Daphnia pulex: one gene and its partner. The protein of the gene in region 1 interacts with the protein of each later gene in a biochemical or structural test. Links are inferred from orthologs where the notes say so. Each region holds a gene or a part of one and is shown on either strand. Other genes may lie near its edges.

Region 1 (4,535 bases):
ACCTGATATAATAAGTTATCTGAGCACTTTATTGAAACTGTTGCGTTAAGAATTTATCCTTCGAAGAGAAATTCAATCGACTATCGATCAACCTAAACCATAAAATCTGTTACGAAGTGAGCTGAGAACAGAAGAAATCCTTAACTGGGGCAGCCATACAGCTAGTAGCCTAGTACTAGAAATCGGCAGCGCCCTAGTGGAATATTTAAGAACTTGATAGTGGTAACCGTCCATTTACAATTTTTCAATCACTTTCATCAATATGAACCAATGAAAAGAATGAACGTAGGTAGCTACAGAAAAAAAACGAGAAAAAAATATTTTCTTTTGTTTAGAAAATAACATAAAAAATAGAATTAAATTTAGAATATTTCGTCATTGCGCAATAGCTTTATTAAAAGAAAGAAAAAAACTGAAAAGAAACAACTTTTTAGATACAGCATTTCCAAACCAGCCATATTTGTGCATAACGCCCAAAACCGGTGATGTCAATACAGGTAACAAATAATATCTTGAAGTTGCCGGGAAAACATGTTCTCATTAACTTAATGCAAGCTTTTTCTTTTTGGGAGGTGGGTGGGTGGGTGTTGGGCTTGTAGCAGTTGGAGAAGACGAAAAAGTAGCGCTGAAGTTGAAATAAAATTTTGAAACACAAAATCAATCAAAAATTCTTCGGTGTAGTTACATCCAGTGAAAACGTTTATTATTGTGGGTATTACAACTATTACTTTAGGGTTTTACAGACGATCAACTTCTCATTACTACTATGACAGGTGACACCATCGAAACGTGTTTGTACCAATCCCTTGTTCCAGTTAAGTCGCCGTTATTAAGAAATTCTATTTAGGTTTGCATTGAAAAAATTCCAGGAGATGGTGTCGCACACTCAGGAATAATCTAACACGGATTCGACTTACAGTCAACACGAAAACAAAGTAAAAGTTTGATTCTTTAACATGTAGTAAGGTTGTATATTACTATCAGTTCGTCAAAATTATTACGCTCCTTTTGCCGCATTGGCTTGGGATTGGAGGGATTTAACTAATTTCATAAGTCCATCAGTTGACATGGATTTGGGTCGCTCGAGTGGGAGACCCAACGCACGATCCCAAACCAAAGATGCCAGCACACCGAGTGCTCGAGATACACCGAATAGTACGGTGTAATAGCTCATTTCAGACATGCCGTAATGCTGCAGCAAAACACCAGAATGGGCGTCAACGTTTGGCCAAGGATTCTTGACCTTTCCTGTTTGCAGAAGGATATCTGGGACAATTTCGTATAGCTGGGCAACAAGCTTGAACATCTTGTCGTCGGGCAAATGCTTGAGAGCAAATTCACGCTGACAAGTGTAACGCGGGTCAGTTTTGCGCAACACAGCATGGCCATACCCAGGTACTACTTGTCCAGAAGCAAGCTGCTGTTTAATGAGCTGGACCAAACCCTCTTTAGTCCACCCATCTCCCAAAGCAGCTGTAATTTTGTTTAAGAACACCAAAACTTCTTGATTGGCCAGTCCGTGAAGAGGTCCTGGTAAACAACAACAACATTTTAATTTGGACCTCACTACATATAAACCGTGCTAAATTAGAATACCTGCTAATCCATTCATACCGCCAGCAAATGACAAGTATGGATCTGATAAAGCAGATCCTATCAGATGGACTGTATGTGCCGAAACGTTTCCTCCTTCGTGATCACTACAAAAACATTTAAAAAATAGTAACGCCAATTAAACTTGACTTAATTATAATGCCAAGACGGCATTACCTGTGAATAGTTAGATAAAGTCGCAACAGTTCGGTAAACTGAGGGTCGGTGTATCCTAACATGGATGCGAAATTAGCTGACCAATCTTTTTTGGTATCGATCGCTCCAATCGAAGATCCATCGCGATATAAATTACGATAGATTGTGGCAGCGACAGTAGGAAGTTTGGCAATCAAATCCATAGAATCTTCGTAGACGTACTATAACGGTCACATCAATCGATTGATATCGTGTGTTTAAAAACATGTAATATTAATGGTCACCTACCTCCCAATATTTAGATTTGTGAAGTCCCTCAGAGTAAGCTTTGGCAAATTTGGATTCACTGTTCAGGGCAGTGATTGCTGCACTGAACTGTGACATTGGATGAAGGTTGGCTGGGAAATTATTGAGCATGGTCACAACATGAGATGGAAGATCAGCACGGCTTGCCCATTCTTTAGACAAGCTTTTCACCTAAGAAAAATAGTTAGGTAAAACATACAAGTGATATATCCATCAGATATTACTTGGGCTTCATTTGGAACATCTCCAGTAATCAAAAGCCAGAATAAACCTTCAGGTAGAGGTTCTTCCCCGCCTTTAGCTTTAGGTAGCATACGTTGGCATTCTGGAATAGATAATCCCCTGAAGCGGATTCCCTCTTCAGGATCTAGGACAGATGTTTCTGTGACCAAACCTTTCATGCTGCGCATACCTCCATATGCCTAGTTTTTTTTGTGGGTTATTTATGATTCATCATGTGATTTGTTCATATGTGTAACCCACCATATCCACTGTAATTTCACCAATTTTTACATTGCCATGTTCTTTACGGAACTTCTTGACACGTTCCTGTTCATAAGGGATTTTATTGTTAAGAACATCCTTCAGATCAGTATGATCAGAGAATGCTCTTACAATGGTAGAAATAGAGCCCTGCAGGATAATTATAAAATGTGTTACATAATGAGAATACCAATATTTATACAACTATATATATTAGAGGCACCATTTGAAACAAAAGTGCTAATTAAAAAAAGACATGGAAAGAATTTTTGCAATATTTAAAGAAATGGATCCTAGAAAGGCGGAAATTTGTTTCGAACAGAAGTAAGACGTCGAGGATTTTTTCACTTATACCAATTATATTTTACCTGAGGAGGGGAGCTTAACCGCAAAGATAATGTGCGAAACAGAGCCATGTCAACAAGAGATGCAGTTTAACTAGCAATGACGAAAGTTAATAAAGCTGGGTAAAGTGACCGAAACCGTGATCCGCAAATATGGAGCTTTTACGAGGTCACCAGATCTTCGTGAATCGTGTGTCTGTAACTTAGATAATCTAGTGTAAATGCCTCCAGTTGCTTTTTAATGCTCTGAGATTTATAGAGCGCCATCTCTTGTACATTGCAAATATTTGGCAAAATTCGGCTACCGTTTTGTTGCTTACTCCTTTTTATAGATATTTCCTATTTCTCTTGAATGTGTAAGGTTTATGGAATCCAAATTTATTATATTCTCTTGATTTATATTTCGGAAGGTTTTATTATTTAACCTGAGCACAGTAGAGGCGCTAACAGATCCCTAGAAATGAAAGCAAAGATCGCCATCGGGCCTTTTGAAGTAGAAACAGACGATGTTCTTGTAATTGTCCGTTGCCAAATGGTCGAAAAATCCGTTTTAAATTTGTGATCCAGAGATAAAAAGAGTGGTAAGCCAGAAAAAATCCTTTTATGATATTTTTCGTTGCGATTTTTTCCACCTTTCTTTGAAGTTCTCATTCATTTATATTTCACAAGTAATATGATATAAATTAACCGTCTGACAACGTAGTGTTCGTTGTAATTTTTCATTAACAATTTTAAATATCTGCAGAGCAGTTATATAGTTATGAAACTCTGCTAGTGGTTGTTGTTTATTGGATTTCTATTTTGGAAACTACATATTCATCTATAAGATCACTATTGTGAGATGGAGCGGTCTCGTCCATCGAAGGATTCTTCTCAACAGCTAAGAAACTCTGGGACCGTAAAAGTGTTGAAAAAAGGTGCAAACGGAACAGTTCCACTAGACAAAGTCGGTAAAAACAAATTATTTTCATCTGACACCAAAAAAAGGTTCTCGTCTGTCAAGAAACGTTCTCACGTTGAAATTCTCAACACTTCAAACGCCAAAAGTAAAATAAACTCTCCTATTGTGGTAATTGAAAATGAAACATCTCATGTGGACATACTTCAAAGAATCCAAGCTGTTGGGATACCTAAAACATACAATTCAACATTATGCAGCTATTCAACCACTGCAACACACCAGCAAAAATTAAACCAACCGATATTTCAAAGTTCTGTTGTCCTTATGAAAAACCTTGAAACACTGAAGAATTTGGAGATTGAAACTCGGAATTTACTCAGCCACAAAGTTGAAAAGGATAAAAAAATGCAGAAATTATTAAACTCAAAGGTATTCTTTTTTATGATTTATTTTCTAAAGAAAACCTATAATCTTTGGATGTTGTATAGGTTTCAACAGTTTTGAATCCATCCAGGCAAATTTTTTCTCGCCTTCAGCCTATTTCATTTAATGTGGAACAGCTTGTGGATCAAGATGAAACAAGGCTTCACAATCTAGCAGAAAAGAATGCTCCACAAATGCGATATAGGGATCCTGAAATTGCTTTGAAAGATTTTATTGATTGTATGGTTATTTCTAAAACTCCTATCCTACCTGAATCTTCCTTTCATGATCAGTGTTGTCAGTTTCAAATCAATCCATTTATCCAACAT
Region 2 (3,470 bases), on another chromosome or scaffold:
CTTACAGCTTGGAATTGTGAGCATAAACAAAATAAAAGTATGGCAACCCTGAAAATCGTGCGACACTGATTTGCGATTGTCATTTAACGAACCCAGCCGTTATTGCATAACGAGCTTCTCATACGACTACTAGATGGCGCCACCGCTCGGATTGGCCGGACATCCTTGAGCCCGTTCGGTAAAAAAATGCCACACTTTTGGGGTTTTTACGCTTCAACCCGGGCAGTGACCCGGGATTTCATGTCCCGGGTTAAAGCCGTAGTCGACGACTCTTGGAAGTGAGTAAAGTAAGTTTACCCACCATATTCGATGCCATGGTATCTTTCTATCTCCATACTTTTTCTTTTGTTCATCGAAGAAATGGACATTTTTTACTATATGTACTGTATAGTATCTATTGTTTTCTTGTGAAATGGAAACAAAATGTATAATCATGTCAAAATTTTTCGAGCTGAAATTATATCTGATTTTCTCGTTAGCTAAGGTTTGTATTCATGAACGCTTCTAACATGAAATATTAAATTACAATTAGTTATTGAAATCTGTATTTTAAGCCGAACAACATATATCAACAAACACAATCACCCATACCCATCACACCTATATAACTGCAACTTTTTTTCGAAAAGGAAAAATGAAAATAGACGATTCTTTTTTCTTTTGACAACAAACGCGCCAACGTCCTAATTTCCTTGGATTGGAGTCGGAGGATTAGTTGATCCAGCAGTCTGAGTCATGGTAATTGGGATGACTCGTTCTTTAGAACCTGAGGAATTACAATCCAAAAATTAGACTTCTGCACGATAAAAAGTTTAATTTTGAAATTGCCTTCAAGCATAATTTTTGGAGCCATAATGGTCAAAATTCCTTCGGGCGACATAGTGGACGTCACCGTCTCGGGATTTACGCCTTGGGGAATGGTAACACGACGACGAAATCTAATTAAGAAAAATATTTAGCTTTTAAGATTAAATTACACCTAATGAAATAATAACTTACTCCCGCGAGACGTGTGAGAATTGATCCTTGCGTTCCTCATGCTTGGCTAAAAAAAATAATCACCCATTTTATAGCTCACATTAAAGGAAATGTAATTGATAATTAGACTCACCGTGGACAATGATGTTATTGTCGGTCGTCTTCACAGAGATCTCGTTTGGCTGGAAATGCGAAACATCGACCATCACCTGAATAATAAACAATTTTTAGTTCACAGAGCACAGACACACCCACACACTCAAATTAATAACAAACAATTTGACTATATACCTGAAACGATTTGTCGTCTTCCTTGACGCTGGATAAAAGTTTTCCAAGTTCACGATCCATGTGACGCATCGATCTCCTCATTGACCGCGGAACAATGTTGAATCGGTTCAAGAAAGGATCCAATGTTTGCATCGGCTCGAACTGAGTGAGCTGATTGAATGGATCCATCATGCTGTCGAAGGGATCGTTAAAAGGTAGGAGAGACATGATAAGCCTAAAAACATTTAATCAAAATGAATAATTAAAACATGAAGTAAAAAACATAACGGCTAAAAATACAAATAATTGGAAGATGGGGGAGATCAATCACCAACAGCGAACGGCTCTGCAATAATTTGCTGGACAAATTGGGAATCGTTTTATACTTGTCGCTGTAGACGAGATTGCAACGTTTTTTTTTAACTGCACGAATGGTAAAAACTAAAAAGCATTTGTCACTAGTAATCGTTAGACTAATAAATCGTATTGCCATCGTTAGAAAATTATCTTTAACAAAATACCAATTACCAAGTATAAGTTCCACTTCATTTACTAATCATTTACCTCGAAAATCAACGTTTGAATGGCTGAGTAGAGAACCTTCTAGGAATCGATAGCTAACCTATATAAGCCCTTGGACAAACCGTTCCGAGCCTCAGTCGAGAAATTTACGTTGCCAATTCTTTGACGTGTTCTCTCCAACTTTTTCCAGTTCGAAATCATGGCTCTCTGGAACATCGATCCTTTCTTTGATATGGGCATGGGCTGGCCTAGAGATCCTTGGGCCGTTTATCGCCAGGACCCGCTGACTCGTTGGATGGAATCGTCTCTTCCTTCGGTTTTGTCAGCAATTGACTTCGCTCCCACCGGCACCCGGCGTCGTTCACCAATCAGGGAAGTCGTCAGCGACGAGAACAAGTATCAGGTAAAATTCCCAACCGTTATATCGCTCTTATTCATTTCCATATTTAATTCTATTGTGTTTATGAAGGTGACTCTTCACCTGGGAGATTTCAAGTCCGACGAGATCAACGTCAAGCTGGTTGATCGCAATCTCGTGATTCACGCCGAACACAAAGAAAAGCCCGACGAGCATGGCCACATCTCGCGCAACATCAAACGCAGTTACATTCTCCCTCGTAACGCGGATTTTGAGAATCTGAATGCCACTTTGTCGGACGACGGAACTCTGGTGGTTTGCGCTCAGAAGAAGGCGGTTGAACCGGTTGGTGGCAATAGAATATTTTTTAAATTCGTGTTTTAAAATGTTGTGTGGATGTATTTTTACCAGGAGAAGGAGCGTGAAATTGAAGTGAAGCAGCTTCCGCCTACATCCCAGCAGTCCGTGAAATCCGGGCAGGAGACGCAGAAGGGAAATGTCAACATTCCCGTGAGTCGTGAGGCCGGCAAAAACTAAAGCAGATTGGAAAATGGATTCCCATCTTTGAAGGCTTTTTGAATCGTCGAAGCGTGTTGTGATTCGTTTGGAATCGTTAAGATTTTAATCAAGAAATGTGTGCTTGTTATTGTGTTGAAAATTATTGGAGTCTCGTCGTAGGGCTTGCATCTGCTTCTGAGAAATGAGAATAAAGAATGTCATTTTTGAAACAACTTTTGTAACGCTGATATTTAAATAACTCATCGTTGGCGTATTTTTTTCCATTTCACAAGGCCGAAGAGAAAATTCGAGAGAAAATTTTATGACAGATAATTCGACGCTATCAGCCACAAGAATATTGGAAATTAGATGATTAATAACATCTGGTTGGATGTTGCAAATCCAGTTTGGCCAAAATCTTATTTAATCCGGTTAAATATCCGGTTTAATTCGATTCGAATCAATTTTCGACTCATTTTCGCAATCTGGCAAATGCCAAACCGAGTCATCCCAGATTGCAGACTACAATTTCCACACACGAAACGTCAATTTGTAGTTTTTTAGAGAATGTGAAGAAACCATGGTACACTCGCCAGAACATGCTGTTTTATATATTAACATTTCTTGAAACCACAAACCATTTCATGTATCGACTTGCATTAATTATCTGACTGGTGTGGTTTCGTTATCAAATGGTTTATGGTTCAGCGTGTGTGGATGTGTCCAGACATTTTTTTTTTAAATTTGATGAATTGCACTTTGGACTCCAGCTCCTTCATTTTAATATGAGAGTCATACAGTAGCTGCTTTGCATTTTATTTATTTGCTTTTCTATACGCAAGAA

Evidence for each region.
Region 2: the proteins of probable citrate synthase 2, mitochondrial (region 1) and alpha-crystallin A chain-like form a complex in vitro, tested with the Homo sapiens proteins (3 studies listed by BioGRID). The link is inferred for Daphnia pulex from reciprocal best matches to the Homo sapiens genes CS and CRYAB.

What each region holds. Positions count from the first base shown.
Region 1 is NC_060018.1:6,453,846-6,458,380, forward strand, and holds probable citrate synthase 2, mitochondrial, read right to left. Parts: upstream 3,107-4,535; 5' UTR 2,955-3,106; coding exon 2,907-2,954; intron 2,689-2,906; coding exon 2,539-2,688; intron 2,478-2,538; coding exon 2,280-2,477; intron 2,227-2,279; coding exon 2,038-2,226; intron 1,971-2,037; coding exon 1,771-1,970; intron 1,701-1,770; coding exon 1,597-1,700; intron 1,531-1,596; coding exon 998-1,530; 3' UTR 682-997; downstream 1-681. Other genes in the region: uncharacterized protein LOC124189052, read left to right, coding at 3,724-4,212, 4,272-4,535. UniProt on the Homo sapiens protein: Key enzyme of the Krebs tricarboxylic acid cycle which catalyzes the synthesis of citrate from acetyl coenzyme A and oxaloacetate.
Region 2 is NC_060026.1:2,241,271-2,244,740, reverse strand, and holds alpha-crystallin A chain-like, read right to left. Parts: upstream 1,701-3,470; 5' UTR 1,549-1,700; intron 1,484-1,548; 5' UTR 1,477-1,483; coding exon 1,270-1,476; intron 1,188-1,269; coding exon 1,112-1,187; intron 1,046-1,111; coding exon 1,000-1,045; intron 939-999; coding exon 829-938; intron 767-828; coding exon 684-766; 3' UTR 529-683; downstream 1-528. Other genes in the region: alpha-crystallin A chain-like, read left to right, coding at 1,970-2,173, 2,240-2,473, 2,540-2,665. UniProt on the Homo sapiens protein: May contribute to the transparency and refractive index of the lens. Has chaperone-like activity, preventing aggregation of various proteins under a wide range of stress conditions.